Anolis sagrei: one gene and its partners. The protein of the gene in region 1 interacts with the protein of each later gene in a pairwise test. Links are inferred from orthologs where the notes say so. Each region holds a gene or a part of one and is shown in the gene's direction. Other genes may lie near its edges. The genes, in order: NGLY1, TRAFD1, RAD23B and UBXN2B.

Evidence for each region.
Region 2: the proteins of NGLY1 (region 1) and TRAFD1 interact in binary tests that used the Homo sapiens proteins (3 or more experiments, as listed by UniProt). The two-hybrid records come from large-scale screens. The link is inferred for Anolis sagrei from reciprocal best matches to the Homo sapiens genes NGLY1 and TRAFD1.
Region 3: the proteins of NGLY1 (region 1) and RAD23B interact in binary tests that used the Homo sapiens proteins (3 or more experiments, as listed by UniProt). The two-hybrid records come from large-scale screens. The link is inferred for Anolis sagrei from reciprocal best matches to the Homo sapiens genes NGLY1 and RAD23B.
Region 4: the proteins of NGLY1 (region 1) and UBXN2B interact in binary tests that used the Homo sapiens proteins (3 or more experiments, as listed by UniProt). The two-hybrid records come from large-scale screens. The link is inferred for Anolis sagrei from reciprocal best matches to the Homo sapiens genes NGLY1 and UBXN2B.

Annotation. Positions count from the first base shown.
Region 1 is NC_090026.1:84,840,150-84,847,751, forward strand, and holds the start of NGLY1 (peptide-N(4)-(N-acetyl-beta-glucosaminyl)asparagine amidase), read left to right. Parts: upstream 1-4,582; coding exon 4,583-4,710; exon of another isoform or gene 4,711-4,875; intron 4,876-7,602. UniProt on the Homo sapiens protein: Specifically deglycosylates the denatured form of N-linked glycoproteins in the cytoplasm and assists their proteasome-mediated degradation. Cleaves the beta-aspartyl-glucosamine (GlcNAc) of the glycan and the amide side chain of Asn, converting Asn to Asp.
Region 2 is NC_090034.1:30,491,194-30,499,212, reverse strand, and holds the start of TRAFD1 (TRAF-type zinc finger domain-containing protein 1), read left to right. Parts: upstream 1-5,008; 5' UTR 5,009-5,115; intron 5,116-5,123; exon of another isoform or gene 5,124-5,204; intron 5,205-5,663; 5' UTR 5,664-5,722; intron 5,723-8,019. UniProt on the Homo sapiens protein: Negative feedback regulator that controls excessive innate immune responses. Regulates both Toll-like receptor 4 (TLR4) and DDX58/RIG1-like helicases (RLH) pathways.
Region 3 is NC_090022.1:200,263,930-200,271,174, forward strand, and holds the start of RAD23B (UV excision repair protein RAD23 homolog B), read left to right. Parts: upstream 1-4,232; 5' UTR 4,233-4,407; coding exon 4,408-4,473; intron 4,474-7,245. UniProt on the Homo sapiens protein: Multiubiquitin chain receptor involved in modulation of proteasomal degradation. Binds to polyubiquitin chains.
Region 4 is NC_090024.1:48,752,525-48,759,714, reverse strand, and holds the start of UBXN2B (UBX domain-containing protein 2B), read left to right. Parts: upstream 1-4,171; 5' UTR 4,172-4,388; coding exon 4,389-4,562; intron 4,563-7,190. UniProt on the Homo sapiens protein: Adapter protein required for Golgi and endoplasmic reticulum biogenesis. Involved in Golgi and endoplasmic reticulum maintenance during interphase and in their reassembly at the end of mitosis.

The DNA of each region.
Region 1 (7,602 bases):
TGACCGGGTAGGCCTGCCCAAAGAGAAGGGTCTTCAGTTGTGTCTTAAATTCTGACAGCTGATATTAAATACAAGACTTACTGATCAAATTTGCACAAAATTATGCTGCCAGTTCCAGTAAAAGTGAAAAGGCTTTCAATGGGCTATACAACCAGGTTACATAAATATTTGTTTGGAATTAACTTCTGGAATTCAGAGGGATTTATTCCTTGACAACTTTTCTCTCAAAATTGTTTCCTACACGTTGTGTATTGCTGCTCCCATCAACCTCAGTCATTATTTTCAGTGGCTAAAGGTACTGCATTGAGACAAACAGCTGAACGTCAAATGTGCACAGGAATGCAGCCTTTATAGTTATTGCTTATTTTAGCTGAGTAAGAGTTCTGACAAGAAAGACTTTTAAAATGACCTCAATCTGTGTTATCTAACTGTGCAGAAAATGTAATGGTAATTTCAGAGGGGAGGAAAAAAATGTCTGTTCGGAAATCGTATACAATTCTGTAACAAAATTATTAGGTGGTGCGAGCCATACTGGGTGACACCATCAGAGGGGATGTCACCAAAATAACTGTGTACACATGCTGTGTTTTTAATAAAAATATGTCTATACTTAGATATAACCACAAAACAATTTCTTGTAATTTCAGTTGACATGTGTAGCTGGGGTTTGGTTCCAAAACCCTCCATGGATACCAAAATTTGTGGATGCTCTAAGATCCATTATATACAACAGCATAGTAAAAAGATGTCATTCATGTAAAATGGGTGGAAATGGCTCCACTGTATCAATAGAGCTACAACTCTTCTAATTTACCTTTCTAATGTGTGCGTGTGTTAGTCAGAGCTATCATTACTACCATATGAAAATGATGTTTGGAATCATGTGGTTTGGTCATCATGGACTTATAAACCAACTCGGACATTGCGGTCAGCAGAGGAAACCCTAATCTTGGTTCCACCCCCACCCCAAGTACGACTGATAGGAATGAGAGAGAGAGCCTTCTCCGTGATTGCGCCCCACCTCTGGAATGCCCTCCCTAAAGAGATAAAAATTGCCCCCTCACTGCATTCCTTCAAAACATAATTAAAAACTCACCTTTGCTCTTTAGCATATGGAGATGAGGAGGCCTAGATGACCATAGACACCTAACATACTGATGGCTGGAATTTGTTTTTGCACTTTGGCTTGTTGGCTCTGTTACAGCACAGCAATATATTTAATTTTAATGTAATTGCAATTGAAACTTGGTTTTTAAAATATAAATTAAGGTTCATATTTTTATGCTGAACATAATTTAAATTTAATTTTAGGTTGTTATAATTTGGGTTTACATGTGGGTTTAATTGGATGTATGTCGGTTCATTTCGCTATAGTAAAGGTAAAGGTTTCCCCTTGACATTAAGTCTAGTCGTGTCCGACTTTGGGGGGGGGGGGGTTGCTCATCTCCATTTCTAAGCCGAAGAGCCGGTGTTGTCCGTTGACGCCTCCAAGATCATGGGGCCAACATGACTGTATGGAGTCCCGTTACCTTCCTGCTGGGGTCGTACCTATTGATCTACCCACATTAGCATGTTTTCAAACTGCTGGGTTGGCAGAAGATGGGACTAACAGCAGAAGCTCACCATGCTTCCCGGATTTGAACCGCCAACCTTTCGGTCAGCAAGTTCAGCATCTCAGAGGTTTAACCTGCTGTGCCACCAGGGGCTCCATTGTTGTGGTGTATGTTGGTTTATTTTGGGTTTTGGGTGGTTTAGTATTGTTTTTGTATTTTATATATTTGCATTTATTGTTGTTTCAGGCATTGAATGTTTGCCTTCTCGTTGTTGGAATCTGCCTTGAGTCCCCTCGGAGAGATAGGGCAGAATACAAATAAAGTAATTATTATTATTAATTATATGGCAGTGCCGATCTAGCCTCAGTTAACAGTAACTCAAGCTTCCTGAATTCTCCAGCAACCGGCAAGGAAATTTAAGAAATCATAATTTAAATAAAAATGCGGTTACCATTTTTTTAATGTCAGCAGTGACTTGAGAAATGGCAAGTTGTTTCTGGTGTGAGAGAATAGGCCGTCTGCAAGGACGTTGCCCAGGGGATGCCCAGATGTTTTGATGTTTTACCATGCTTGTGGGAGGCTTCTCTCATGTTCCCACATGGTGTGTCGGAGCTGACAGAGGAAACTCATCCGCACTCTCCCCAGATTCGAACCTGCGACCTGTCAGTCTTCAGTCCTGCCGACACAAGGGTTTAACCCATTGTGCTGCTGGGGAACTCCATATTGTTAAAACTGTGCTACATTATTTGCTTTTAATTATTTTTTTCCAATATTATTGTCAAGGCAATACAGTTTATGGCATGATATAGTATCAGATATACTATTAGTCTGGCCTATTTTGAATAGTAACAAAGCAAACAGAAACTAAATGTATCTGTCATGGATGCTGATTAACTGAAGGCCCTTCCAGACAGGCCCTGGTGATAGTATGATAGCTGTGTCCGGGAGCTCTGAGCATTATGCAAATTCCGCAATGGTGGTTGTGAATAAGGGAAGGGGAGAATATTCTTCATAGTTGCATTTGGTGAAAAGATAGAAAGGAGGGGAGGGTTAGGATAAGGTTTAGAGCAGTGGTTCTCAACCTGGGGGTCCCTAGATGTTTTTGGCCTACAACTCCCAGAAATCCCAGCCAGTTTACCAGCTGTTAGGATTTCTGGGAGCTGAAGGCCAAAAACATCTGGGGACCCCAGATTGAGAACCACTGGTTTAGAGTAAGGGTTGGGGTAGGGTAAGGGTTAGGCTTAGGGTAAGGTTTAGGGTTTGGGTTAGGATTCGGGTTAGGCTTAGGGTAAGGGTTCAGGAAAGGACTAGCGTTTTACCATTAAAGAACTCTTACATTCCTTCTATAATATTTGTGTTCCATTCTGCGTTGCACAAACAGTGCTCCCGCAGGAGCGAAGCGGAAACAGTGTAACACTTAGAGCAGCGTTTCTCAACCTGGGGGTCGGGACCCGTGGGGGGGTCACGAGGGGGCGTCAGAGGAGTCACCAAAGACCACCAGAAAACACAGTATTTTCTGTTAGTATGCGGGTTCTGTGTGCCATGTTTGGCCCAATTCTATCGTTGATGGAGTTCAGAATACTTTGATTTTAGGTGAACTATAAATCTCAGTAACTACAACACCCAAATGACAAAATAAATTCCAGTATTCAAATTTAGGCGTATCAGGTATTTGTGCCCAGTTTGGTCCAGTGAATGAAAATACATCCTGCATATCAGATATTTACATTATGATTCATAACAATAGCAAAATTACAGTTATGAAGTAGCAACGGAAGTAATTTTATGGTTGGGGATCACCACAACATGAGGAACTGTATTACGGGGTTGTGGCATTCGGAAGGTTCAGAACCACTGGCTTAGAGCTTCCAGACTCAGCTTTCATACTATTACCCAGGATCTGATCGCAGCTTTTCTGTAATTTGAGACAAGGTTTGTGTACATTGCGTCATCACAAGACAAAGGTGTCACTGACCCAGCCACACAATTTTGAATTTTTGAAGCACAGACTCAGGGCCCTTGCAGATAGACACTATATCCCAGAATGTGACCCAGGTTTTCTGGTGGGGATGAGGGACAGGGCCTTCTCGGTGGTGGCCCCTTGGCTCTGGAAGTCTCTCCCACTGGAGATTAGATCTGCCCCTTCTCTCCTGACTTTTAGAAAGCTGGTGAAATCTTGGCTTTGGAATATGGCATTTGATGAGTGAGTCAATAACTCTTGACCACACTGACGGATGGTGCTGAACTGTGATTTCATTCTGACGACCTGGCTTTATGTAATTATATTATTGTATTTTATGGATTAGTGTATTATGAGGTTGTGATGTTTTTATACTATTGTCTATGAATCTTTTGTTGTGAACAGGTCTGAGTCCCTCTTCGGAGGTCGAGAAGACCGGGTTATAAAAGCTCTAAATAAATAAATAAATAAAATTATGTTTATCCCAGCTTATCTTGCAGTGGGGACTGATATAATCCAATTTAAAGCAGGAAACCTGGGATCAGATCCTGGCATATAGTGTCTGTCTGCAAGGGCCCTGAGTCTGTGCTCCAAAAATTCAAAATTGTGTGGCTGAGACAGTGACACCTGTGTCTTCTGATGCCTCAATGTACACAAGCCTTGTCTAAAATTACAACCATAAGGAATATATGAAACATAAATGATTAGATTTAGGTCCCATCTTCATATCTTGTTATATATATGCAAATATTCCGAAATCCGAAAGACTCCCGCATCCCAAGCGTTCCTGGTCCCAACCATTTCGGATAAGAGGCGCCCCAACCTGTACAAAGGCCAAAGGTGGATGTCTTCCTGCTGCGCATGCGCGCCACCCACTCCCAACATGGAGGCCTCCTGTCGCACGCGCTGCCCCGCCCTCCTCCCCTGAGTTCCTGAATGGGAGGGGGAGCTCCGGCTTGGAGTCGGCTGGCCTGAGTCAGCTTTCTCAGGAATTAAGTGCGGGCGGGCGCAGAACGAAATAGAACTTTCTCCCTTACTGGTAGGCAAGCACAAGCACCGCTTCGGAAGGATGGCGGCCGCGTTGGGACCTTCCGCGCCGCTGCCTTCGCGAGCCGTGAGCGAGCTCTGCCAGAATCCCACAGAAACGTTTTTAGAGGCCTCCCGCTTGCTGCTTACCTATGCGGATAATATCATCAGGTGAGAGGGGCGGGCGGGCCCGGCAAACAACAGGAGCGAGGGCTGGAGGAGTCTTTGCGCCCGTCTCTTTGCGCGGAGGCTCGACTCAGCGGCTGTTAAACCTTACGGATCACGCTCGCCGATGTTTTTGTTTTCTGTGGCGCGGGCGGGATCATTCCGTTGTATGCCATCCTATAGTAAATAGAAGCAATTACCTGCTTATGGTCAGATGCAATCAGATCTCTCCCTCTGGATGGCCTATTAAGCAGGCATGCTATTTAAGGAGCATAAACAACACGTGGATATTTCAAGAATAAGAGTATAAATAGCAAGATTGTGCTTACAGCACACCTATCTTAATGCATTAATCCATTCATTGCTTAATAACATTAATAGGAAGATGGATTTGTTTGTGAAGCAACCGCACTAATGTGAGAGGTCAAGCCATCTAAAGAATATATGCAGGGATAGTTATAATGGCCATGCAGCAAAATACAATAAAATCCACAAAAGAGGGATCTGTTCATGGGCCAACCAAAATGCACAAAAATCCATCATGCAAAGGAATCTAGAATGTCAGTTTGATGAATTTTTATTCTGAATATGGCAGTGCATATACACCACTCAGAAAGCACAGAGATGGTGAAACAATGAGAAAATGTCAGAACCTTGGGCTTCTCTAAAATGCATGTATTTTGCTGTTAACTTACTTAGGAGATCCCTCGTTGTCCGAGTAGGATAATCCTCCAGGGTGGGTCCATAGGTGACTATGGAGCCCTGTTTTTGATCTGCTTCATCTCCCGCAGCGAGGGCATTGGTTTCCAGGTGGAAGGTGGTCCCAGTTGGGGTTGGCTTGACGCGCCTTCCTCTTGGCACGTTTTTCGCTTTCTCCCTCGATTCATGCCTCTTCAAATTCTGCAGCACTGCTGGTCACAGCTGACCTCCTGACAGCCCAGGGCTTCCCAGTTCTCAGTGTCTATGCCAGAGTTTTTAAGGTTGGCTTTGTGCCCATCTTTAAATCTCTTTTCATTCTGTTTTCCATTCTCGAATTCAGAGTAGAGCAACTGCTTTGGAAGACGGTGGTCGGGCATCCGGTCCAGCAGAGTTGATGGCGGAGGACCATTGCTTCAGTGCTGGTGGTCTTTTGTTTCTTCCAGCATGCTGCCATTTGTCCGCTTGTCTTCCCAAGAGATTTGTAGAATTTTCCAGAGGCAGCGCTGATGGAATCGTTCTAAGAGTTGCATGTGACGTCTGTAGACAGTCCACGTTTCGCAGGCATATAGCAGGGTTCGGAGGACAATAGCTTTATAAACAAGCACCTTGGTATTTAACAGTGCTGTTAAATAACATACACTGTAATGAGTTTGGAGTCACAGGAGGATGCTTTAACCATCTTTCCAGTTCCTCAGAAAATGGAGTAAATATCAGAATAAATCCAAAAGGAATAGAGCTACAAAAAGCCTCTTTGTATCCCCTTCGGGAGAAATAAAGAGGGGTAAAAATAAATATGATAATAATAATAATATATTATCTATATCTGTATCTACCTATATTATTGTATTATATTAAAATCAAACCATTGGGAAGACACATTCAATGTGCAATGCTATGCCAAAGGATCCAAAACACATTTGGCATGAAATATTGGACTAGACTGGGGCAGTTATCTTTCCCCAAGTGCCCTCAAATGCTATTTCAACAATATATGTATAATTTTATGTATATCCGGTAAATAATGCACTCCAGTCATTCTCTCTCATATATATATATCCCCAGATATAAATGCAATTACTACAAATAATTCTGGGCATATTGAAATGCAGATTTGACATGTACCAAAGGAATAGGAATAATGTGGACTGAAACCCCACCAGTAACTTCCAAACAATTAATAATCTATTAGAAAAGGTTCTAGAACTCAGGTTGCGCTACATTGTAGGCTTATTGCAGTTGGACACCACATTAAATGTCGTGGCTCAAAGCTATGGAATCATAGGAGTTGTAGTTTTGCAAGGGCTTTAGATCTTTCTGTGACAGAGTGCTGCTGTCTCGACAAGCTATAACTCCCATGATTTCATAGCATTTAGCCATGTCAGTTACAGTGGCATCAAACTGCATTAATTCCACATTGGAGACGCACTCTTAGAGGTCCCCTTCCACTCGAACCACTTGCCATACTTGATTTGATAGTTCTACTCAGAGGACATACCCTCCAATATTTCACAAATGTGTGACCAAGCAACATCAGAGTGTGATCAAGGTGGCAGAAATTATTAATGAAGAGGAATACTGTACACAAGGTAGCGGAGGCTGCATCAGTTTGCTTTTGCCTTTTCCTGTGAGGAAGGGCAATATTCTGTTATCTCTGCTGAGATATTACTTTTGCAATCTGAACTCAGCCTGCAACAATCAAAGAGGAAGTGGGAGGAAAGGGAAACTAAAAGCAGCTGGACAATTTGGAATGACTGGCTTAATCTGGACTGTCCCAGCAAATTCGGGATTGTATGGGAGGAGAGCCTCTTCAGAAGATCCTACACTCTGGACAAGTGTGTATATAGAGAGATGGTCCTTTGGGCAATGTGGTCTTGATTGATATTAACAATTAGCACTTTTAATTGCACCTAGAAACATACAAGAAGCTAGTGGAGGTAGTGAAGTACTGGCGGAATAAAATCAAGCACTTCCTGTAGAATCGATGCAGTTTGATAGCACTTTAACTTCCCTGGCTATGAAATTGTGGGATTTGTAGTTTAGTGAGGCACCAGCACTCTTTGGCAGTAAACACTAAAACCTTGTAAAACTGCAACTGCAGAATTCTAAGAAAAATCCAAGAAACATAGAATCCAGTACAGAAATATAAAAGCAAAACCTGGTACTTGAAAACAAGAACATGAACAAAGGCATGGAACTAGA
Region 2 (8,019 bases), on another chromosome or scaffold:
AACATGTATGTAAAGTTTAAGCCTATTCAAAAATAACGGTAACTGGGGCGAAACGGCGCTCAACAAATCATTACTGAAATCTTGTGGTCCTTGAATCACGTTCGCAGAGGGAACATCAAAGACAATGTCTATTATTCCCGTTGTTCTTAACCTTCCTTTGGTAAGGTTGATACCTAGGCCTTGCATTGTAGCCTTGCCTACGATTATTTTGATACCTTGAGGGACCCCCACGGTTCCCCTGAGCAGAATTATATCCATTAAAGAAACTCTTACGATACGTAGGCGGGGGTTGCTGCCAACGTGGCCTCTGCTGAGCACCCGATTGCCAAGGGTAGTTGTATTTAGCTGCATGTAGTACTTCTCTCGAATGCTTAATCTTGTCATCGGTTGTCGGATCGAAGAGACCTTCCTCGTTCATAGGAAGATCCTCCGCCAACAAGCGGCTCTCCTCTGACAACGTGGAGGCACGAAGCCAAGCATGACGCCGTATTGCTGTGGCTGAGGCAAAAAGTTTACCAGAAGCCTCCGCCATATGTTTTGCGAAATCTTTCTGAAATCTAGCAAGGGTCAAGGCTTTCTTCTGAAACGCCTTAGGGAGTTGGCGGTCGTCTAATGGGAGAAGCTCAATAAATGGTGTGATCTTATTCCAGAGAAAACTCTGGTATCCACTCATGTAAGTGGCATAATGTGCCATCCTATTGAAAAGACCCGCCGCCAAATGAACTTTCTTCCCAAAGGAGTCTATCTTTTTGCCCTCCTTATCTGGTGGGGTAATGGACTGCTTCTTTGGCCGTTTAGATCTAGCAGCTTCAGCCACCACAGTGTTGGGCGTAGTGGGGCGAGCAATCCATTTAGCCACAGAGAGGTCAACCTTATACATGAAATCAACTCTCCTTGGAACGGCCGGAGCAGCTGAAGGGGACACATCTGGCACCTTGGTCAATTTAAGCAAATAAGGTAAAGTAGGGAGGGAAGTAGATGATGGGTTATCCTGTTGATCAGGCGGAAACATGGGATCATCTACAGTTGACTGAGGTTTTAGGGCGGGAATATCAAAAGCCGTTATCATCCTCCCCAGTAACTGCATAAAGTTATTAAAGTCATCTGAACGTTTAGCAGGGGCTTCTTGGTCACCCCCCCCCCCCATGTGATGCTTCCAACCCGTCATCAGACAAGTCAGTGTCAATAGTGTCCTCTCGAGTTGGATCAACAACAGGCAGTTCATCTGATGTCTCAGTGTGAGCCCTCATGGAATGTCGATCATTATAAGAAGGTGCTTGATACATAGGGTTTGAAACCACTCCCTTTCCACGTGGTGGAGGGGAAATCAAAGCCGGGTCCCTTTGGCACATCAAGGGGGCATCATTGTGATACGGCTGCCAAGCCCCTCCTCGTGACGTTGAGGGCTGAGGTGAATGACCATAGTAAATGAATCGCCCCCTAGGCGTCACTTGGTAGAAACCCGGCTCAGGTGGAGGAATTCCATTCCTCTCCTCCCAATCTTCCCAATGAGATGGGCGAGAATGGGGAAAGGAACAACGTTTGCAGGCTTTTGCCTTCTTGCGTCTCGCTTGTGAGCAAGAAGACGCAGAGCACGTTGAGGAGGAAGAGTCGCTAGACGTCGATCGATCCCTACGTCTCCCACTCTTCCTGGACCGTGATGGAGCACGCGCACAGTGCCGCGGCACAGCTACGGGGCTTTCCCGGCCTGAAGGACGGCTTGTGGGAGGAGCCTGTCTTAACTCCTCCCTGGGCTCGCTTATACAAGACGCAGGGTCTGTTGGCGCCAAGAGCGTCGGCATTGGGGGCGTGCCCGAACTCCCTTGAGGCTCTTCTTGCGCACGCGCGAGGCGTGCTCTAGCCGATCCCGGCTCCGCCTCAACTCTCTCCTGCGCACGCAAGGGGCGTGCTTTCGTCGATGCCGGCTCCGCCTCATTGCCTGTTTTTTTTTAAAATAATTTTTATTGCATTTTAGTGAAGTTACAAGGCAAGTGGGGGAATAATTGTGGAGGAGATAGGAAAGTAGGAAATAATAATAAGCATAGAGTGTTGTGGAAAAAAAATATCGAAGGGGGAAAGAAAAAAAAGAAAAAAAAGGAAGGAAAGTGAAAAATAAAAATGAAAAATAAAAATAAAAATGAAAAAGTCAAGAAAAAAATAAAAAAGAGAAAAGAATGGACTTCCATCTGTTCTTTGAAGATCTTCTATGTTTATATTGAGAAAAAAAATCCAAAACCATGGTATATTAAAAAATTGAAAACGAAAAAATATCATTCATTTTAAGTAGTCCATTATGCTTTCCTGTGATGCAGTTATTTATGTTCTATGTTATTAGGTATCAAGGAACGACCTCTATTTTCTGTTGCTTAAAATAATTTTTCACCAAATCCCAGTTTGTGTGTTTTTTCGGTTTTCCTTCATTCGGTGTCAGCCAGTACGTTAGCTCATCCATATTGATTATTTCTAGTATCTTACATTGCCATTCTTCTATTTGTGGTATTTCTTTCTGCCTCCATCTCTTGGCATAAACAATGCTGGCTGCTGTGATCAGGTAGTTGAAAATGATATCTTTATTTTTGTCTCCTATTATATCGTACATTCCCAGCAAGAAGAACTCTGGTTCTTTTCTCATTTTTATGTCAAGTATCCTTTGTATGTTAATATAGATTGTATTCCAATTTTTTTTAGCTTTTGGGCAACACCACCACATGTGGTAGAAGGATCCTATATGTTGATCACATTTCCAGCATCTGTCAGGTGCATTTTTGTGAAACTTTGAAATCTTCTGTGGCGTAATGTACCACCTATGTATCATCTTAAGTTGGTTTTCTTTTAAATTATAGGAGTAGGTGTACTTCATTTTCTGATTCCAAATCTTCTCCCATTGTTCTAAACGAATTTGATGGCCTATGTTTTGTGCCCATTTAATCATTGATTCTTTTATTTGTTCTGTTTCCGTTGTCCATTCTAATAATTTTTTGTAAATTTTTGTTATTATTTTATTGTTTGTCCTCATAATGGTATCCCAGAATCCCTCTTTAGTTCCAAAATTTGATTCTTTATCAATTTTATAGCAATCTAGAATTTGTCTATAGTTCAACCACGATAGGGTAGTGAAAATTTCTTTAATCTCTTTTTCTTCTCTTAACTCAAATGTTCCTCTTTCTGATCTTAGTAAGTCTTCATATGTAGGCCAGGTTTCCCAGCCTAGCTCTCTTTGTTGCCTGTTTGAGGATGCATCGGCCATGTCGCAGCCGATCCCGGCTGGGAAATGGGCTCAGTTGCAAGGGGAGGCTGACTCTGCCTCATCCCCGGTTCGATCAGTATGGCTCTCTTAGGCTGCTTAATGGAACCTTTAGCCTTCTCTATATTTTTAGTTTTCTTAGTCTTCTTCAATGCCTTGGATGCGGTCTCCAATGCAGGTAAGTCTATTTTCTCGGCTGGGTTTTGGTCGCCATTTTGTCCCCTTGGCGTTGGAGGGAGGAGTGCCCGCTCATACAACACCGCTTTAAGGCGGATTTCTCTATTTTTTCTCGTTTGGGGGGTAAAGGATTGGCAAATAGCACAAGTTTGCGACAAATGTCCTTCCCCCAAACATGCAATGCACAGAGAGTGTGCGTCATATCAGGGAAGTTTCCCTGGCAAGTGGAGCAATGCTTAAAGCCTTTAGTTTGAGACACTGTTCTAATTAAAGCGTCTACGCTGATTTAAGTTGAAATTTAAGTTGAAATCTAGAAGTAGTTTTGTCGTCAGATACAGATTTAGTCAAAATTGTTCTCTACAGAAGATTTTGAGCTCGCTGTTAACGCGGATGAAGAGAACTGAGGCGGTTAGCCAGCCCACGGGCTATATATGTGCTCGAGGGGAGTGTGGGCGGGGCCAACCGCCATTTCTTTCAAATTTAACAGAAGATTCCGAAGCTGTGCTGCACGCGCACAGGGGATATTACCATATGTGTGTATTCACAGCAGACCACGCAGGGAAACTAAGGCTCATCTCTTCTTGGAGTTGACCCCCCCTAAAGTCTAGTTCGACTGATCAAGTGGTCCCTGGTCAAAGCGGTCCTTCCTCAAAGTGGTCCCTGCTGAAGAGGGCCCTGGTCAATGTGGTTTCTCATCAAGTGGACCCTGGTCAAAGTGGTCCCTGCTCATGAGGGCCTTGGTCAAAGTGGTCCCTGGTCAACCAACCAAGGATTCTTCCTGGCGGGAAACAGTCCAGCTTTGAAACTGCAAGGCCACTCAATGGTAATCAAGCTGGTCAGTGGCAACAATCACACCATTATTTCTATATTCTTTATGTCATGAAGAATTCACATTCTTTATTTATATCCCACTTTTCTCCCTCACGGGACCCAACATATTAATGCCATACAAATTACAGCCCAAATACTTCAATCCTAACCAGTAAGACCAAAAATGGATATAAAGCATCTTGAAATGGGCCATTTTGAAAAACAGCCATTACAAAACAAATCAGGGCAATCCAACTAATTGCTGAGATGAATCAGCACAAAATAATGATTGCAATCATTCTAAATCCCTGTTCCTTTGTCGAATCATGTAAGAGGCATCTAGAATTACACAGCCATCTGTGCTATCCACTCAGTTACCACAAAAAACGGGTAATGTTATATTCTTGTTTAATAGGAGACGCTTTTCAAGTAGGGCGATGGAAGTAGATAAGATGTTCCTAGGGAGGGGAAAGCGAGGAAGGCGGTTGGCGGGGCCGCGCATGCGCAGTAAGGAGGCCGATTGGCAGGCCGGTTGTTCCTCGAGCGAGGGCTTTCACTTGAAAAGGGCGGGGCGCGGGGAAGCGGGCGGAGAGCGGAGCTGGAGACGGCCCAATGGGGAGGCGCGGGCGGCGGTTGAGGAGAGGCGGCGGCCAATGGGCGCGCGGAGGGCGGGGCTGGCGACGGCCCAATGGGGAGGCGTGGGCGGCGGTTGAGGAGAGGCGGCGGCCAATGGGCGCGCGGGGAAGCAAGCAAGGGGCGGGGCCGGGCGCTGGAGCCTGGCTTGCGCCGCTCTGAAGCGGCCAGTGGGCGGGAGGACGGGCCAGGCGGGCGCCAACGGTCCCGGCCGTTCTTGAGGGGAGGCGCCCCCTCGGGGAAAGGAGAAGGTACTGCGTGGGAAGGCGCTTCAGGCCTAGCTTGGGCCTGCTGGTCTACCTCGCAGGGCTGTGAGGAGGAGCCAAACCAGCCCTGCGAGGTAGGCAAGCCCAAAGAGAGCCCTGCTCCCATTGGCTGGTTCACAAGGATAAAAAGCTGTCAACAAATACACGTTTTAGCACAGGCCTGGGCCAACTTTGGCTCTCCCTCCACGTGTTTTGGACTTCAACTCCCACAATTCCTAACAGCCAGTAGGCTGCAAGGAATTGTGGGAGTTGAAGTCCAAAACACCTGGAAGGAGAGCTGAAGTTGGCCCAGGCCTGTTTTATAATTTATTATAACAAATATAAAATTTTCTAATGTATTATAATAATAAAGTATTTATTTCTAGCCCGCCCTCTCTCCCACAAAGGGACTCAGGGTGGCTTTTAGCACCAATGTCCGTTAGGGGAGGTAGAAGGCAAGCCTTTCAATGGGAGGTATCAGGCACAATTAGCACTCCAATGATTCTAATTGTGGGGGGAAAAGTGACATTGGTTTTGTCTGCTTTCCTCCCCAGGAGCCGTGGGCCCATCCACACCCAGCCTGGCTTCCTCCTTATCCGCAGGGTCTGTTCAGGTAAGTCGGACTCAAAGGTTTGCAGGTCTGGGCGAACTTTGACCCTCCAGGGGTTTTGGACTACAACTCCCATAATTCCTAACAGACGGTATGAATTTTGGGAGTTGTAGTCCAAAACACCTGGAGGGCTGAAGTCGGCCCAGACCTGTCTCACAACCCTTACAAAAGATGTTACCGTTGGAAACTGACAACATCAAAAAAGAATTGGCTGGATGTAATATATAATATATAATTTATTCATTTATTTACTGCATTTCTACCCCGCTCTATCTCATCCAGAAGGGGATGCAGAGTGGTTTCCAGTTTGGAAATTCAATATTACATAATTTATTTTGGGTTGCTGTGAGTTTTCCAGCCTGTATGGCCATGTTCCATGCAGGAAGCAGCCAGACTTCAAAGCTGCAAGGCCCTTCAGTGCTAATCAAGGTGGCTAATGGCAACATTCACACTTGCCTCCAACAGACAAGAGTTCTTTCTCCCACCCTGGACATTCCACAGATATATAAACTCCACTTGCCATGTTTCCAACAAACCTCACAACCTCTGAGGTCAGGAGAGAATGCTTCTGGAACATGGCCAGAGAGCCCGGAAAACTCAGCAACCCAGTGAATTTGGCCCTGAAAGCATTCGACAACACATCATTTATTTATTTACCATATTTCTACCCTGCTCTATCTCTCCCCGAGTGGGACTCAGAGCAGCTTCCAGTTTTGGCAGCCATTCAGTGCCACGTTAAACAGAGAACAGCAATAAATAACACAACAAGCAATAACATCAAAAACATAAAAATACCTTTAAAGCAATTAAAGTTAAAAAAAACTTGGCATGATACTACATTTCCTTTGAAGCTGGGATGCCTCTGCTATCACTGTAAGGAGGTCCTCCGTTGTGCATGTGGCGGGGCTCAGGGCCCTTCCAGGGACAGGCCCTATATCCCAGGATGTGATCCCAGGTTTTCTGCTTTAATTTACACTGAATTACGTGAGTCTGCACTGCCAGATAATAATTTGGAATAAACAGAAAACCTGGGATTGATCCTGGGATATAAGGGCTGTATTGGTCTGTTGTTTGCTCTTCTCCACACTCGCATGTTGTGTACTCCACTTTATGGCCCCATTTCATAAGATTGACTCTGCATCTCGTGGAGCCAGATCACAGCCTGTTCAGTGACTTCCAAGTCACCTAAGGCCCTTCCACACAGCCCTATATCCCAGAATATCAAGGCAGGAAGTCCGACATTATCTGAGTATGGACTCTGATAACCCAGTTCAAAGCAGATATTGTGGGATTTTCTGCCTTGATATTATGGGATATAGGGTTGTGTGGAAGGACCCCCAGTCTTCTGTGTGCCCAGGAGGGAGTTTCTTATCTGATCTCAGCCACAGATTGAGGTTTTGGGTTTTAGCCTGCCACTTTTGGACTCTTGTTTGCTGAGGTGGTCCTGTGAGTATCTCTGCAGATCTTAGGAAGCTGTTTCTTGATTAAAGACATTGGCATGCTGGCTGATATCCAAACGATGGGCTGGAGATGTCCTTTCATTACTGGCTGCTACTTCCTGGCAGATATCAGATGGTGCAATGCCGGCGAAGTAGTATAATTCCTAGTGTACTCAGCAGCAGAGTAGCCAAGTGCAAGGGCAGATGCCTTCACTGTGTCTGACTGTGATCCCTAGGTTGTGCCAGTCAGTGTTCGTATGATATTATTTCTGGCACCTACTTTTTGCTTGATAGTCAAGCAGTGCTTCTTGTAAATCAAAGCATGGTCCAGAGTGACTCCCAGGTATTTTGGTATACTGCAATGCTCCAGTGGAATTCTTTTCCAGGTATTCCTCAGAGCTTGAGGCATTGGGGGAGGGGGTGGGGGGTGGAAAGATGAGAAAAAGTGGACATTGGAGAACTGGAACAATTACCTATATGAACAGGTACAATTCCAAATTATGACAAGTGTCACGAAGCAGGAGAAAATAGAAGCAATCAAAAACAAATGGACAATATATACAGACCAGGGCCCCTTCCAGACAGGCCCTATATCCCAGGATCATGATCCCAGAATTTCTGCTTTAAACTGGATTATATGAGTCTGCACTGCCAGATAATAATCTGGGATAAACAGAAAACCTGGGATCAGATCCTGGGATAAAGGGCCTGTCTGGAAGGGCCCTGGGTAAAAACGGATAAATCCAATACAAATATTATCATGAAAGTAAGAGAATGGTGCACAGGGCTAAAGATAACAAGATAGTGGAAAATGTGGTCGGGAAGGTTGGTGATGGGGGGGAATAATACAGGAGTTTTATT
Region 3 (7,245 bases), on another chromosome or scaffold:
ACCTGACTAGCGACTGTCAGCTCCTCCAAGACTATGGAATGACCTGCTGGAAGAGATTAATCAGCAAAATCAGTTGTAGGAATTCAAGATACAACTGAAGACCAATCTCATCCAGCAGGCCTATCTGGTCAATTTCAAACTATGAATTTTAAATTTACATTCTATGACTATTGTATTTTGATCTTTGTTCCATGAATCTTAGTGTGTGTGTTTTACATAAAAATGTTTTAATATATGCATTTTATTGAATGTTTTTATGATGATGTGTTTAACTATGTTGTGCCCTGCCCCCTGTTGTGAGGAGAGGCTGGTAACAAATCATGATCACCATGTGTTTCACTATTTGCTAACTGTTCAACCTGTGTGTTCACGAAATGACTATTTAAAGAATTAGCATACATCTACAGCACTCTAGCCATACGAGAAAATTGATAATGTACTTTTTGGGGAAAATGAACATAAAACAAAAGTATATTATATGTTCCTTTTCTCCATGAAGAATTATGTATAACTTGAGTGTTTGTAACACTATATAATTTTGTGCATGAAATCAAATTTGTATAAACTAAGCCATCAGAAAGCAAAGGTATCTTTATTTCAGACAGCAGAATTCTGAATAACAGATGCTCACTCAGTATCATAATAACTGTTAACCCATGCTGAAAAACATGAGCTTGTTGCCAGTTATCTTCCAAGTCCAATTAAGAGTTTTATTGGCCATGGCTGACTAGTGATCAGCAAGTCTGCTGGACTACAATTTCCATCATTGCTGACCACTTGCCAGAATGGCTAGGACTAGCAGAAGTTAATATACAGAATTATCTGGAGGACAAATGGTTGTCTCTATTCATTTCAGCCGTTAAAATTTTTGAATATTTCTCAACCTTTAAAGTCTTAATTGGTTAGAGCAGTGTCGACACTATGGAATTGCAGATTAGGATGGAGTGTTTAGAATTCAAAATTAGAGAACTCTAGGGCCTCACTAAAATATAAACTACACAATTCCATAGGATGCAAGTATGGCAGTTAAAGTGGAATCGTAACACTATGATTTCATAGTGTGAAAGAGACCCAGATGCTGAGTGGCCCTCCACCCACATTATTACCAATCTCTTTTGCAGGACAGCAGTACTAATCAAAGTGTTGGTCCCTGCACAGCTGGTAGTGCTTTGCAAATTTCCGGGAAAGAAAGAAGCACTTCTGATCAGTGAGGAATTTGCTTCCTGTTTGTTGCTTTGCTATTGCACTGCATTTTGAATTAAACTTTCAACTGTGTCAATTCCTTTTTGAACATCTTTGACATTCCAATTCCAGTAAAAGTACAAACGAAACTCAATAAATATAGTGAAAGCTATCACAAAAGAACATGACTTTTGTGTCTAACAGGAGTTAATTCTTAGAGATCAACAAGAATGGCTCACAAATAATGTATACAGGACTGCTGTCACAAAAATCCGTTGCAGACTGTAATCCTATAGAGCAGAAAAAATAAGAATGGATATGTGTGTTTGTGTACATGTTTGTGTACAGGCAGTCCCTGAGTTACAAACATTCAACTTACAAATGACTCATAGTTAAGAATGGGGCTGAGACAACAGGAAGTGAGAGAAATTCATCCCTGAAAGAGTTTTCATGGGGAAAAGTGGTCTCCACTGAAGCTTCATCACCAATCCTTTTTTCCACAACAAGCCAATTTTTTTCAAAACCCAATAATCACAGGGACAGAAAGTGAGGTGAAATCTTATGAACAGGGGCACTGACAGCAAAACAAACACAAGAGTGCTAACACTTCCCTATGCTATCCAAAGCCTATATATGCATGTGTGTGTCTGGAGTTACCCTTAAATAATGTACCTGTACAACTTACCAAAAAATCAACTTAAGAAGAAACCTACAGAACCTATCTTGTTCATAACTTGAAGACTGCCTGTACATATGCACACACAGGCAGGCACTGCCACGCACACATGTAAGCAATGTAAGCACACATTCACTAAGACAGAATAGTACTTTTAGGCAGGTCCTGATGTGTTGTTGTTTTTTTTTTTTTGAAAGGCATTATTAAAGATTGAAGCCCCTTAATGACTGTTGGCCTACCATGTATAAGCTGTATGCATGCTGCATGCACATATATGCATATTTATATTTAAAACACGACTAAAGACCCATCTCTTTCAACAGGCCTACTCAGCAAATTTTGAACCATGAATTTTATATTTACATTCTATAACTATAGCATTTTCATCTTTATACCATACGTTTTAATACATGTATTTTATAGTAATGTGTTAAAGTATGTATTTTATGTTAATGCTTTTTACTGTGTTGTGCCTCACGTGAAGTTGTGAGAGTTGTGTAATAAAATTTACTATTATTACCGCACATATATATGTGACTCCTCACATGAGTATATATACACATATTTGTGTACCTATCTGTGTGTACTGTCTATATACTCTGCTCTCACCACATACATAAACCGACTGTGGCCCCTTCTACACTGCCATATAATCCAGATCATCAACTAGATCAGGGTCCTCAAACTTTTAAACAGGGCCAGGTCACAGTCCCTCAAACTGTTGGAGGGCCGGATTATAATTTGGAAAAAAAATGAATGAATTGCTATGCACACTGCACATATCTTATTTGTGGTGCAAAAAACCCCACACTTAAAAACAATACAATAATTAAAATGGAGAACAATTTTAACAAATATAAATGTATTAGTATTTCAATGGGAAGTGTGGCCTTGCTTTTGGCTGATGACATAGAATTGTTATTGTTGTTGTTGTGTGCTTTAAAGTCATTTCAGACTTAGGTTGACTCTGAGCGAGGGCCGGGTAAATGACCTTGGAGGGCCGTATTCAGCCCTCAAGCCTTAGCTTGAGGACCCCTGAACTAGATAATCCATATTATCTGCTTTGAACTGGATTATATGAGACCACAGTGATAGTATGATAGCTGGGACCCAGTGCTGCTAGCGCTACGCTGTTTTCGCAACAGTGGTTGTGAATGAGGGAAGGAAACACGTGAATGACGTGGACGAGAGAGCAGACAGAGTGAGAGACGCAGGTGCAACAGAGTCGGGAAGATAGTTCGTTGTTGCATTCGAAGGAAGGATAAAAAGGAGAGACATACAAGGAGTGGTGAGGAATTAATGAAATCCAGTTTATTGAGCAGTTTCGCACAACTGAGCAGGAAGTGAGTTCTTTGGAGGCACGTTTAATTATTGGGCAACGCTGTTCAGTTTGTGGACAGGCTGGATGTGGGGTAGCCATGAAGCTGGTGAAGACAGGTGCACTGTCTTGCACATATATTCCCTTCCCTGATTCTGACCCGCGTTGCGCTACCAACATACCCGAACCTGCGTTGCAGAAACAGTGTCGTGCTAGCAGCACTGGGTCCCAGCTATCATACTATCACCAAGGCCCCTTCTACACTGTCATATAATCCAGATTATTAAATCAGATGATTCACATCATCGGCTATGAACTGGATTATATGAGTACACACTGCCTCATAATATGGATTTTATAGCAGTGTAGAAGGGGCCTGTGTGTACTCTTTCTCTTTCCTCGCCTCAGGAGTTTAAAGTGTGGTAAAAGAGAAATCCAGGGAAATTGCACTTTCAGCTGCCTCAAAGGATTATTCTGTTTTGGGCCCCTTCCACAGCTGTATAAAATCCACATTGAACTGGATTATATGGCAGTGTGGACTCAGATAACCCAGTTCAAAGCAGATATTGTGGGATTTTTGTCTTGATATTCTGGGTTATATGGCTGTGTGGAAAGGCCCTCAGATAACCCGGTTATGTAGACTCAGATAGCGCAGTTCAAGGCAGATATATTGGCTGCGTTTATATTCTGTGTCATATGGCTGTGTAGAAGGGCCCTCAGTCAATACGTTCTTGAGTTCTCCCTTCTTCCTCACCTCTGCGCCTACTTCCTTCCTCAAATCCTGCTCTCCTTCCTGGTTTTATTCTCTGACGCTTCCCTCATCCTTTTCTTCCGCGGGGAAGAAGAGTCCCGCTCGCACATGCGCAGTTCTTCCTTTTTCCCGCTGGCGGACTTTCTCGGAGGGGCCGTCACGAGACTGCAGCGTCACGCGCGCTGTCGTCATCATGGCGGCGGCGGCGCCAACCGCGGCGGCCCCCTCCCTGCCCTGAGCGTGAGAATTCCGGAGTGCGCCTGCGCCGGTGCGCGCGCATGGGGACGTCTGGCGCGTCGTGGCTCCGCCCACTGCCCCCCTTCCCTCCCTCCCTTTTTCCTTTCTCCCAACGTCGCTGGAGCTTGCCTGCCGTCCTCCGTGAGGGAAGGAAAGAAGGAAGGAAAGGAAGGAAGAAAGGAGGAGGGTGCGGGTTGGCTCCGCCGGGGGAGGAGGCCCCACTGCCAAGCAGCCGCCGCCGCCATGCAAGTCACGCTGAAGACGCTGCAGCAGCAGACCTTCAAGATAGACATCGACCCTGAGGAGACGGTGCGGCCTGAGAGGAAGAGGAAAGGGATGGGCGGCGGGGAAGAGGAGGGCTGCTAGGCCTCAAATGGCGGCGGGGCCTGGAAGGAGAGCCTCCTCGAGGCCTAGCTCGCAAAGAGGCCTGTAGAAGTTTTTTAGCGGGGGGAGGGGAAGGGGGGGGTGAGGAGGGAAAAGTTGGCGCGCCATTGGTCGCTTATGGAAACGGCTCCATGCTATAGGCCAGGCCTGCGCGCGGGCCTCGAGACCCTTCTTCGCGAAGAGGGGAAACCTCTCCCCCCCCTCCTTTTTCCGCCATGACGGCTCTTGCTGCTTCGTTGGGTGGTGACAAGGGTATTGAGTGTCGTCTCCGTCGCGCAAAGGGTGGGCGGGCCTGCTTATGAAGGGGAAAGGGTGCCATGACTGTGCATTATCGCTTCGCGCGAGGAAGGGGTGTGTGTGTGTGTCACTCAGGCTGTCTCTGTGTGTGTCCGTCCGTGGCTCCGTGTGCGCATGCGCCACTATTGGGATCCATGCGCGGGAGAAGTGAGCCAGGAGGTTTTAGAATCATAATATTTAGGCCCCTTCCACACAGCTGAGTACAACCCCAGATCTGCTCTAAACTGGGAACTCTTCCACACAGCCCTATATCCCAGAATACCAAGGGAGAAAATCCCACATTATCTGAGTGTGGACACAGATAACCCAGTTCAAAGCAGATACTGTGGGATTGTATGCCTTTATATTCTGAGATGTAGGGCTGTGTGGAAGGGCCCTGGGATATATGGCAATGTGGATTCCTGGCTATTCCAGACAGGCCCTATATCCCGGGATCGGAATCCAGGTTTTCTGCTTTAAACTGGATTATATGAGTCCCCACTGCCAGATAATCTGGGATAAACACAAATCATTGGATCAGATCCTGGGATATATGGCGTGTCTTGAAGGGCCCTCAGATAACCAAGTTCAAAACAGATATTGTGGGTTATTGTGTCTTGATGTTCTAGGGGCCCATCCACACAACCCTATATCCCAGAATATCAAGCAGAAAACCCCACAAAATCTGCTTTGAACTGAGTTATCTGAGTCTACACTCAGATAATATGGGGTTTTCTGCCTTGATATTCTGGGATATAAGGCTGTGTGAAAGGGCCCTGAGATAACCTAGTTCAAAGCAGATATTGTGGGATTTTCTGCCTTGATATTCTAGGATATAGGGCTATGTGGAAGGCCCCCCAGAATATCTGCTTTGAACTGGGTTATCTAAGTCCACACTGCCATATATTTCAGTTCAAAGCAGAAAATGTGGGATTTTATTCAGTTGTGTGGAAGGGGCTGTGGAAGAGACCACAGGGGCCATCCAACCCAAACCCCTTATATTTCAGGATCTGATCCCAGGTTTTCTGCTTTAAACTGAATTACATGAGTTCGTACTGCCAGATAATCTGGCATAAACAGAAAACCTGGGATCAGATCCTGGGATATAGGGCCTTTCTGGAAGGGCCCTCAGACCCCTTCCACACAGCTGAATAAAATCCCACATTATCTGCTTTGGACTGGAATATATGGCAACGTGGACTCCAATGGTCATGGAATGGAGACAGCTTTGGTCACCTGGGTGGATGACCTTCACATGGAGCTTGACAAGGAGTGTGTACCTGTTGGTTCTCTTGAATCTTTCAGTGACTTTCGATACCATCGACCGTGGTATCCTTCTGGGCCAGCTTTCTGGAATAGGACTTGGTGGCACTGCATTGCAGTGGCTCCACTCGTTCCTGGAGGACCAGACCCAGATGGTGGTGCTGGGGGACACCTGCTCGGACCCCTGGCCATTGACTTGTGGAGTCGTGCAAGGTTCTATTCTATCCCCCATCGACATGAAACCGCTGAGTGAGGTCTTTGGAGTTTAGGAGTTTGGTGTCTTCTGTATGCAGATGACACACAAACTATTATTCGTTTCCACCAAAATCCAAGGAAGCTCCCCGAAGTTCTGGACTAGTGCCTGGCAGTTGTGATGGACTGGATGAGGGTTAACAAACTGAAGCTAAATCCAGACAAGACAGAGGTCTTCCTGGTCAGTCGTGAGGTTGCACCCTGTGCTCGACGGGGTGACACTCCTCCTGATTACACAGGTCTGCAGTTTGGGGGTCTTCCTGGACTCAGTGCTGATCCTGGAAACTCGCAGAGGAGGAAAGTTCCTAACATATGACACATGCTACCCAAAAAGGTTGTACTAAGCTTATACTGTCTTTGTAATTCGGGTAGCTATCAGAAAAGTGGTCTAAACCCCTTAAGACTATATCCAGTCTGATCTTGAAGGAGAGTCAGACCTGGTTAGTGCTTGGATGGGAAACCAACGATAAATGCCAGGTACTGCAAGTTATATTTCAGAGGAAGGATTTAGCAAAACACTGCTGAGTTTTCTTTTTAAAGAGACTTTGTTTTGGGACTCGACACAAACCTGCTGAAATGTCCTAAACACACCAGATCCCATCTGATGGACTCTAAGCAGGGTCAGCCCTAGTTAGTACTTGAATGAAAGACCACCAATGAAAATTAAATGTCATGGGCAATATTTCATAGTAAAGAACTAGCAAAACTATCCCTGAGTATTCCTCGCCTAAGAGTAACCTATGAAATTAATTGGATTTCTATAAAGCAACAGGCTCATTGAAGGCACATGTGCACACGCCTATCAGTGATAGAATTTGCACTGTCAAAATATTGGAATGATTTTCGACACATAGTAATGTAGATGTCTGTATATACATGTGCTTTCCTCTGTCTGGCCATCGTTGT
Region 4 (7,190 bases), on another chromosome or scaffold:
CAGAGCCTTTACCTTTATCTGTGTGTCTGTGTTTCATTGTTCTGAGGCATCGAATGTTTGCCTTGTGTCTCTGTATATGCGGAATATAGATAAGGTGTTGTTATTGTTATTATCTGTGAGCAATCAAATCCACAAATGGCAAAACTGCAAATGTTGAAGGACAACTGTAGTCTTTTTTTTTTTTGCCTCCAATCATCATCATCATCATTTATTTCTTTTCCGCCTCTCCTTGTTGCTCAAGGCAGGTTATAAAACAGCTAAAAACACATAATCATCATAAACATTATATATACATATATTAAAACGTATTTCTACAAAATGCGTATAACAAATTTAGATGTCAAAAATAGCAGGCTACCAGCTTTGAATAACAACTTTACTATTGAACTGCAATTTAGTGTACCATGAATAAGGTTTGTAAAACAGCTGTTGTGATTTTCAATACATTACAGAAAAAAAGGAAAAAGCAAAATTAATATATTTAGTGAGTATTAAGTGTTACTTCACCACCACCTAGTGGTGAAGAATGTCTCTCCAAAGGCTTGTTTTTAACAAAGTCTTCTAAATACATTTTATGTGCATCCTCTAAAAAGGAGAAAAGCCTTTTCTCTTTTCAATAACAATAAATTTTGGCATATAGGGAGTAAATTAATTGTTATATTTCAAAAACTGAAATTGAAGCCAAACAAGACAGAGGTACTTCTGGTCAGTTGAATGGCCAAACAGGGTATAGGGGTCCAACCTGTGCTGGACAGGATTACACTCCCCCTGAAGACACAGGTTCTCAGCTTGGGAGTACTCCTGGATTCATCACTGAGCCTGGAACCTCAGGTCTTGACGGTGGCCAGGGGAGCTTTTGCGATATTAAAACTTGTGCGCCAGCTGCGCCTGTCCCTTGAGAAGCCAGACTAACAAGAGTTGTCCACACTCTTGTTACATCTCAATTAGATTACTGCAACGCACTCTACAAGGGGTTGCCTTTGAAGACTGTTCAGAAGCTTCAAGTAGCCCAATGCGCAGCAGCCAGACTGCTCATCGGAGTGGCATGTAGGGTACGTACAACTCCTATGCTGCGTCAACTCTTCTTGCTGCCAATTTGTTACTGAACACAATTCAAAATGCTAGATTTTAAATGGTTCTGGCCCAGCTCACCTGCCCGAATTCATCCCCCCTATAAACCATCCTGGGTGCTAAGATCTTTTTGGGGGTGGGCCTGTTCTCAGTCTTACCTTCTTCACTGGGGCAGCTGATGGGGGCAAGGGACCGGGCCTTCTCAGTGGTGGCCCCTTGGTTGTGAAACTCCCCAGTGAAATTAGATCAGCCCCCTCCCTCCTATCCTTTAGAAAACAAGTTAAAACCTGGCTATGGAACCAAGCATTTGGAGAGTAACACAGGGCTATGTGATTGGAACGGCTTCTGGATTATGGTTTTTAGTCTATGTGTAATCTTTTAACAGCTTATTTGTATATTTATATGTTAGCGTTTTATTATTTTCATGCTTTAACGCACAAGGTGTATTGTATTTTGTTTGTCTTATGTTAATGTGGATTTGAATTATTGCCAATTTGGAAGCCACTTCAGGGTTGAGATAGAGCGGGGGGAAATACAGTAAATAAATAAATTTATTTTATTTATTTAAAACATTTATATTCTGCCCTTCTCATCCCGAAGCGGACTCAGGGCAGAGCACAGTATATATAGGCAAACATTCAATGCCAAGGACATGAATTCATTATATGCATACATAAACATTAAAAACATTTTATCAATATTAAAATACATTAATTAAATACAAAATAATATTAAAGTCAATATTAAAATACACTGTTTAAAAGTCTTGATAATCTGTGTCTAATCTGCCCTGAGTCGCCCAAAAGGCTGAGAAGGGCGATATACAAATATAGTAATAAATAAATAAATGGCCTGAAAAGGTTTCCTATCACTGTTTTATTGCATTGTCCCAAAAGCTTGGTCCCACAGCCAAGTTTTTACCATCCTTCTGAAGGACAGGAGGGAGGGGGCCTATTTTATCTCACCACTCGGGCCGGGGGGGGGGGGGCAATCACCAAGAAGGCCCTCTCTCTTGTCCCCACCAATCACGTTTGTGACAATGGCAGGATGGAGGATCTCTGTGATGGTTCATAGGAGGAGATGCATTCGGACAGGTAAATTGGGCTGGGGCCATTTAGAGCTTTATAGGCCAAGGCCCACACTTGGAATTGTGCCCAGTAGCAAACTGGCAGCCAGTAGAGCTGGGGCAACATGGGAGTTGTATGCTCCTTGTATGCAGCCCCAGTTATTGACTTGGCTGCCTCTCGTTGGACTATTTGAAGTTTCTGAGCAGTCTTCAAATGTAAGCCGCCCCGAGTCCCCTTGGAGAGATGGTGGTGAGATATAAATAAAGTTTTTTATTTATTATTATTATTGAAAGGCAACCCCACATAGAGTGCGTTGCAGTATTCTATCTTGGATGTAGCAAGAGTGTGGACCACCGTGGCCAAGTCTGGCTTCCCAAGGTAAATAAATAAATAGTCCAAGAAAGATTAGGAAGTATTTTATTTTATTTATTTATTTATTTAGTACATTTCTATACTGCCCCTCTCAGCCTTCTGGCGACTTGAGGCGGTTTACAAGGCAAGAATTCAATGCCGCCAAGGACACAATTACAACATACAATATAAAATACATCAGCAACAATAAAACCAAACATTATAATGACACATACTTCAATCGATAATCATTAAAACAATGTCCATATAGTTATTCCATTATTATATCCTTTACTCTGTATTTTCAAATGCCCGCTCAAATAGCCATGTCTTAAGATTCTTCCGGAATGATAGGAGCGAGGAAGCAGATCTAATCTCCCTAGGAAGGGCGTTCCATAGCCAAGGGGCCACCACTGAGAAGGCCTGTCTCTCGTTCCTGCCAACCGTACTTGTGATGATGGTGGGACCGAGAGCAGGGCCTCTCCAGACAATCTTAAAGTCCTTGCAGGTTCATAAGGGGAGATTCGTTCGGTACATCCTGAAGTTAAGAGCTGTTTGGCAGTGGAATGTGCTGCCTTATAGGGTGACAGAGTCCAATTTTCTGGAGATTTTTAAGCAGAGGCTGGATGGCCATTTGTTAGTACTGCGTTGACTGTATCTTTCTACTCTTTGATTCTAGTGGCTAACATGTTTAATGAATGTAAGCTTTTGTGGACTCTCGGTTAACCGGAACTCAAGCAACCAGCAAAAAATTCAAATAAATAATACTTTAAATAAAATTAAAGGACATGTATTTATTGTTAAATTGTATTATATTATATTATTTCTGGAATTTATATGCAGGTTTTTTTTTTCCGGATGGACCCAAAGCAGCTAACAAAAACAACATAAACAATGTAACATAACCATTCATTAAATCAAGCATAAACCCATTATATTAAATTAGTCTTTAGTTTTCATTATTTGCTGTTGCTGTATTTCAGTATGAATATCAAGTCAATACAGAGTTTAGATATGGCATAGTAGTAGTTACGTCCATTTTTAATAATAACTCTCAGGCAACCAGAAACTAGATTTATCCAGCATGTACCAATTCCCATGGGTGCCGGTTAACTTTGGCTCCATCGACACGGCCAAATAATGCAGTTTCAGAATCCAAATTAACTATATTCTGGATTTTATCAGTCTACATTGTCATAAAATCCAGTTCAATGCAGTTAATCTGCATTCTGGAATTGTTTTACATGACAGATCCAGCCTGAGAGTCAATTATATACGAATCAGAAAGGGTCTATCTGCACAGTGTGATGAATGCAGTTTGGCACTCCTTTAACTGCCACGGCTCAATGCTATGGAATCATGGGAGTTGTAGTTTTACAAGGTGTTTTGATTTCTCTGCCAAGTTCACACCGATATGCTTGGGACCAGAAGTTACTGGGAGCCCCATCTACACTGCCATATAATGCAGTTTCAAACTGTATTATATAGTAGTAGATGGGGCCCCAAACACTTTCTGGCCCCCTCAAAATTTCGGTGTGAGGGCTGCTCAACCTGTGACGGCCCTGAACTGAAAGGATAACACACATTGGGCCCGCCTCCCTTCGGAGTCCTGTCAACCCAGAGTGACGGCCGGGCCAGCCAATGGGAACGGCGCACGCGCAAACAGGTGCGAGTGGGCGGGGCGGAGGGAGGGCCCGAGAAGACAGGCAAGAAACTCGAGCGAGGAGGCTTTGGGGACCAGCGGAACCGACGTGGGCCCTGCACCTGCGAGCCGGTCGCCATAGCAACCCTCGCTGCCGGAAGAACTCCTCAGCGAGCGAGCGGGCGCGCGCCTGCCCAACCGCCCTCCCGCGTGCTCCTCTCTCTGGATTTGGCAGTTGGCACTCGCCCAGCTCGAAGATGGCGGACGATGGGACACTCGCCGAGCGGCCTCAGGAGGAAGACGAGGAGGAGGAGGAGAAGGAGAAGGAAAAAAGGGAACCGGAGGCGGCTGCAGCAGCGGGTACCAGCGGAGGGAGGCGGGAGAAAGGGCCCCGAGGAAGCGGCCGCCCGCCCACCGTCCGGGATCTGCAGGTAGGGAAGGCAGTGTGTGTGCGGCCCAAGGGCCTCGCCCCCTCTCGCCTCCTTCCTCCTCCTGAATTACAGAAGAAACCCGAGCCCTGATGCCTTGGGGTGGTTCGGAAGAGTGGGCCAAGCCCATGACTCCCTTCCTCTTTGGCTCAGACAGATTTAGGGGTCTTTTCTCCGCCCAAATGGGAAGCAAACGTGCCCCTGACGATGACGACACATTTTGTCACGTCAGTCTTGGAAGGAATGCGTTCCCAGTGCAGGGAAGCCATGGCTATACGGAGAGTTATTTTTTTAAATGCAGATTGAGCATCCCTCATCAGAAATGCATGGAAGCAGGGCCCTTCCACTCAGCCATATAACCCAGAATATCAAGGCAGAAAATCTCACAATACCTGCTTTGAACTGGGATATCTGAGTCCACACTACCATATATTCCAATTCAAAGCAGATAATTTGGGATTTTAGGGTTGTCATCTTGTCTTCGGTGTCAGTTGGGAGCCCCTCCCCCCAACACCAACTGCTGCTCTGAGACTAGCCTAAAGAGAGGGGTCCAAACAGATATTGTATTTATTTTATTTATTGTACTGTATTTTACTTGTAAGCCGCTCTGACCTTCGGGGTGAGAAGGGCGGCATATAAATGTCATAAATAAATAAATAAATAAAGCAGATAATTGGCTGCCAGTCAGCTTCCGAGCACAATTCAAAGTGCTGGTCTTAACCTATAAAGCCCTAAACGACTCCGGCCCAATTTATCTGTCCGAACGTATCCTCACCTACGAACCATCAAGATTGCTAAGATCGTCTGGAGGGACCCTGCTCTCGATCCCACCGCCTCACAGGCGTGGCTGGTGGGGACGAGAGACAGGGCCTTCTCGGTGGTGGCCCCTCGACTCTGGAACTCCCTTCCACTGGAGATCAGAACTGCCCCTTCTATCTTAACATTCAGGAAACAGGTGAAAACTTAGCTTTGGTGATTGGCATTCAACAAATGAGCCATGATCCTGTGATATGGATGGATGACGACGAATAATGATTTTTGATGACGACTGACCACTGTAATTATGATTATGATTGTATTTTGCTATTTTAATGTTTTAGTGTGATTTAGAATATGATGTTTTAATGACTGTCTGTAATATTGATGTTGGAAACCGGCCTGAGTCCCTCGAACGGAGGTGAGAAGACCGGTATATAAAACTACTAAATAAATAAATAAATAAATAAATAAATAATTTGGGATTTTACTCAGCTGTGTGGAAGGGGCCATGATCTCGGATTTTTCCTCTTTCAGTTCGGAATACTTCTTTATACATAATGAAAGGGCTTCAACACCAAACCCGTTTGTGGAGTTTATTTCTAAAAGATAAAATGTACACTTTTTACAGGAATTTTTAAAAACGTCTGACATATTCTTACGCTATAGCAAACATTTTTTCCAAACTCTGTACCTAAATGATTTAATGCATTTTGATAACTTTTATATGTGTAATATGTATAACACCATAGTCTACTCCAAGCCATCAATGTGCTGCCACCTCATTTTTCTTTTCTGTTTTTTGTGAGGGTACCTTTTGGAAACATACTCCACGTTTATCCAGTCAGTTTCAACCTATGAATGTAAACGTAGTTGCTGTGAGTTTTCCGGGCTGCCAGGTTCCAGAAGCACAACCCAGAAAACTCACAGCAACCCAGTGATTCTGGCCATGAAAGCCTTTGACAGCACAATGTAAACTTGCCTTTTATTGGTATGGATCAGGCCTGGGCAAACTTCAGCCCTCCGGGTGTTTTGGACTTCAAATCCCACAATTCCTAACAGCATACCTGCTGTGGGAGTTGAGTCCAAAACACCTGGGGGGCCAAAGTTTGCCCTGGCCTGGTATGGATTATTTTAATGTGTTTTAATCATAGTTCTGTGTCTTTTAATATATGTGCTTTCATGGTCTTATGCTGTTATCTATGTATTTTTATTGTGTTGTACCCTGCCTCCAGCTATGAAGAGAGGCGAGAAAGAAATACAGTTTATTTTTATTATGTTTGTTTCATATACGCATCCTTTGAAGATAATTTCATATGCAGTATTTGGTACTATTCCATTATCTGGGTGGAAGCCACTAGGGGGCACTAAAGAGAGATGGATGGTCCGTTTTATGGGAATGTTGTGGGGGTAGAGGATGAAGGAATAAAATCATTTCCCCCTATTTTCCTGTTATTCACCCCCCCACCACCACCCATGTCCCCGTCGTGGAAGAAACTCTCATTTATGATATGAGAAGTGGAAATATTTATGTATTTATTTACCATATTTATCCCACCTTCTCGAGGGGATTCAAGATGGCTTTACACGTAGGCAACTATTCAATAAGCAGCAAAAATGGGGGGAATGGTTTTCATCAACTCCCTCACTGTAAAATGGACCATCCTTCTCTTTGTAGCATCTCCTAGTGACCTCTGCCTGGATAATGGAACAGTATCCAATATTTTAATAATTTTGTGCATGTAATAAAGTGTATGTGGAATCATCAGGGGAAAAGTTGTCACTATCTCAGCCACTATCTCAGTGGATAGTTTGAGGTTTTGGAATATTTGGGGGTTTTTAGAATTCAGGATAAGAGCTGCTCATTAAAATTGC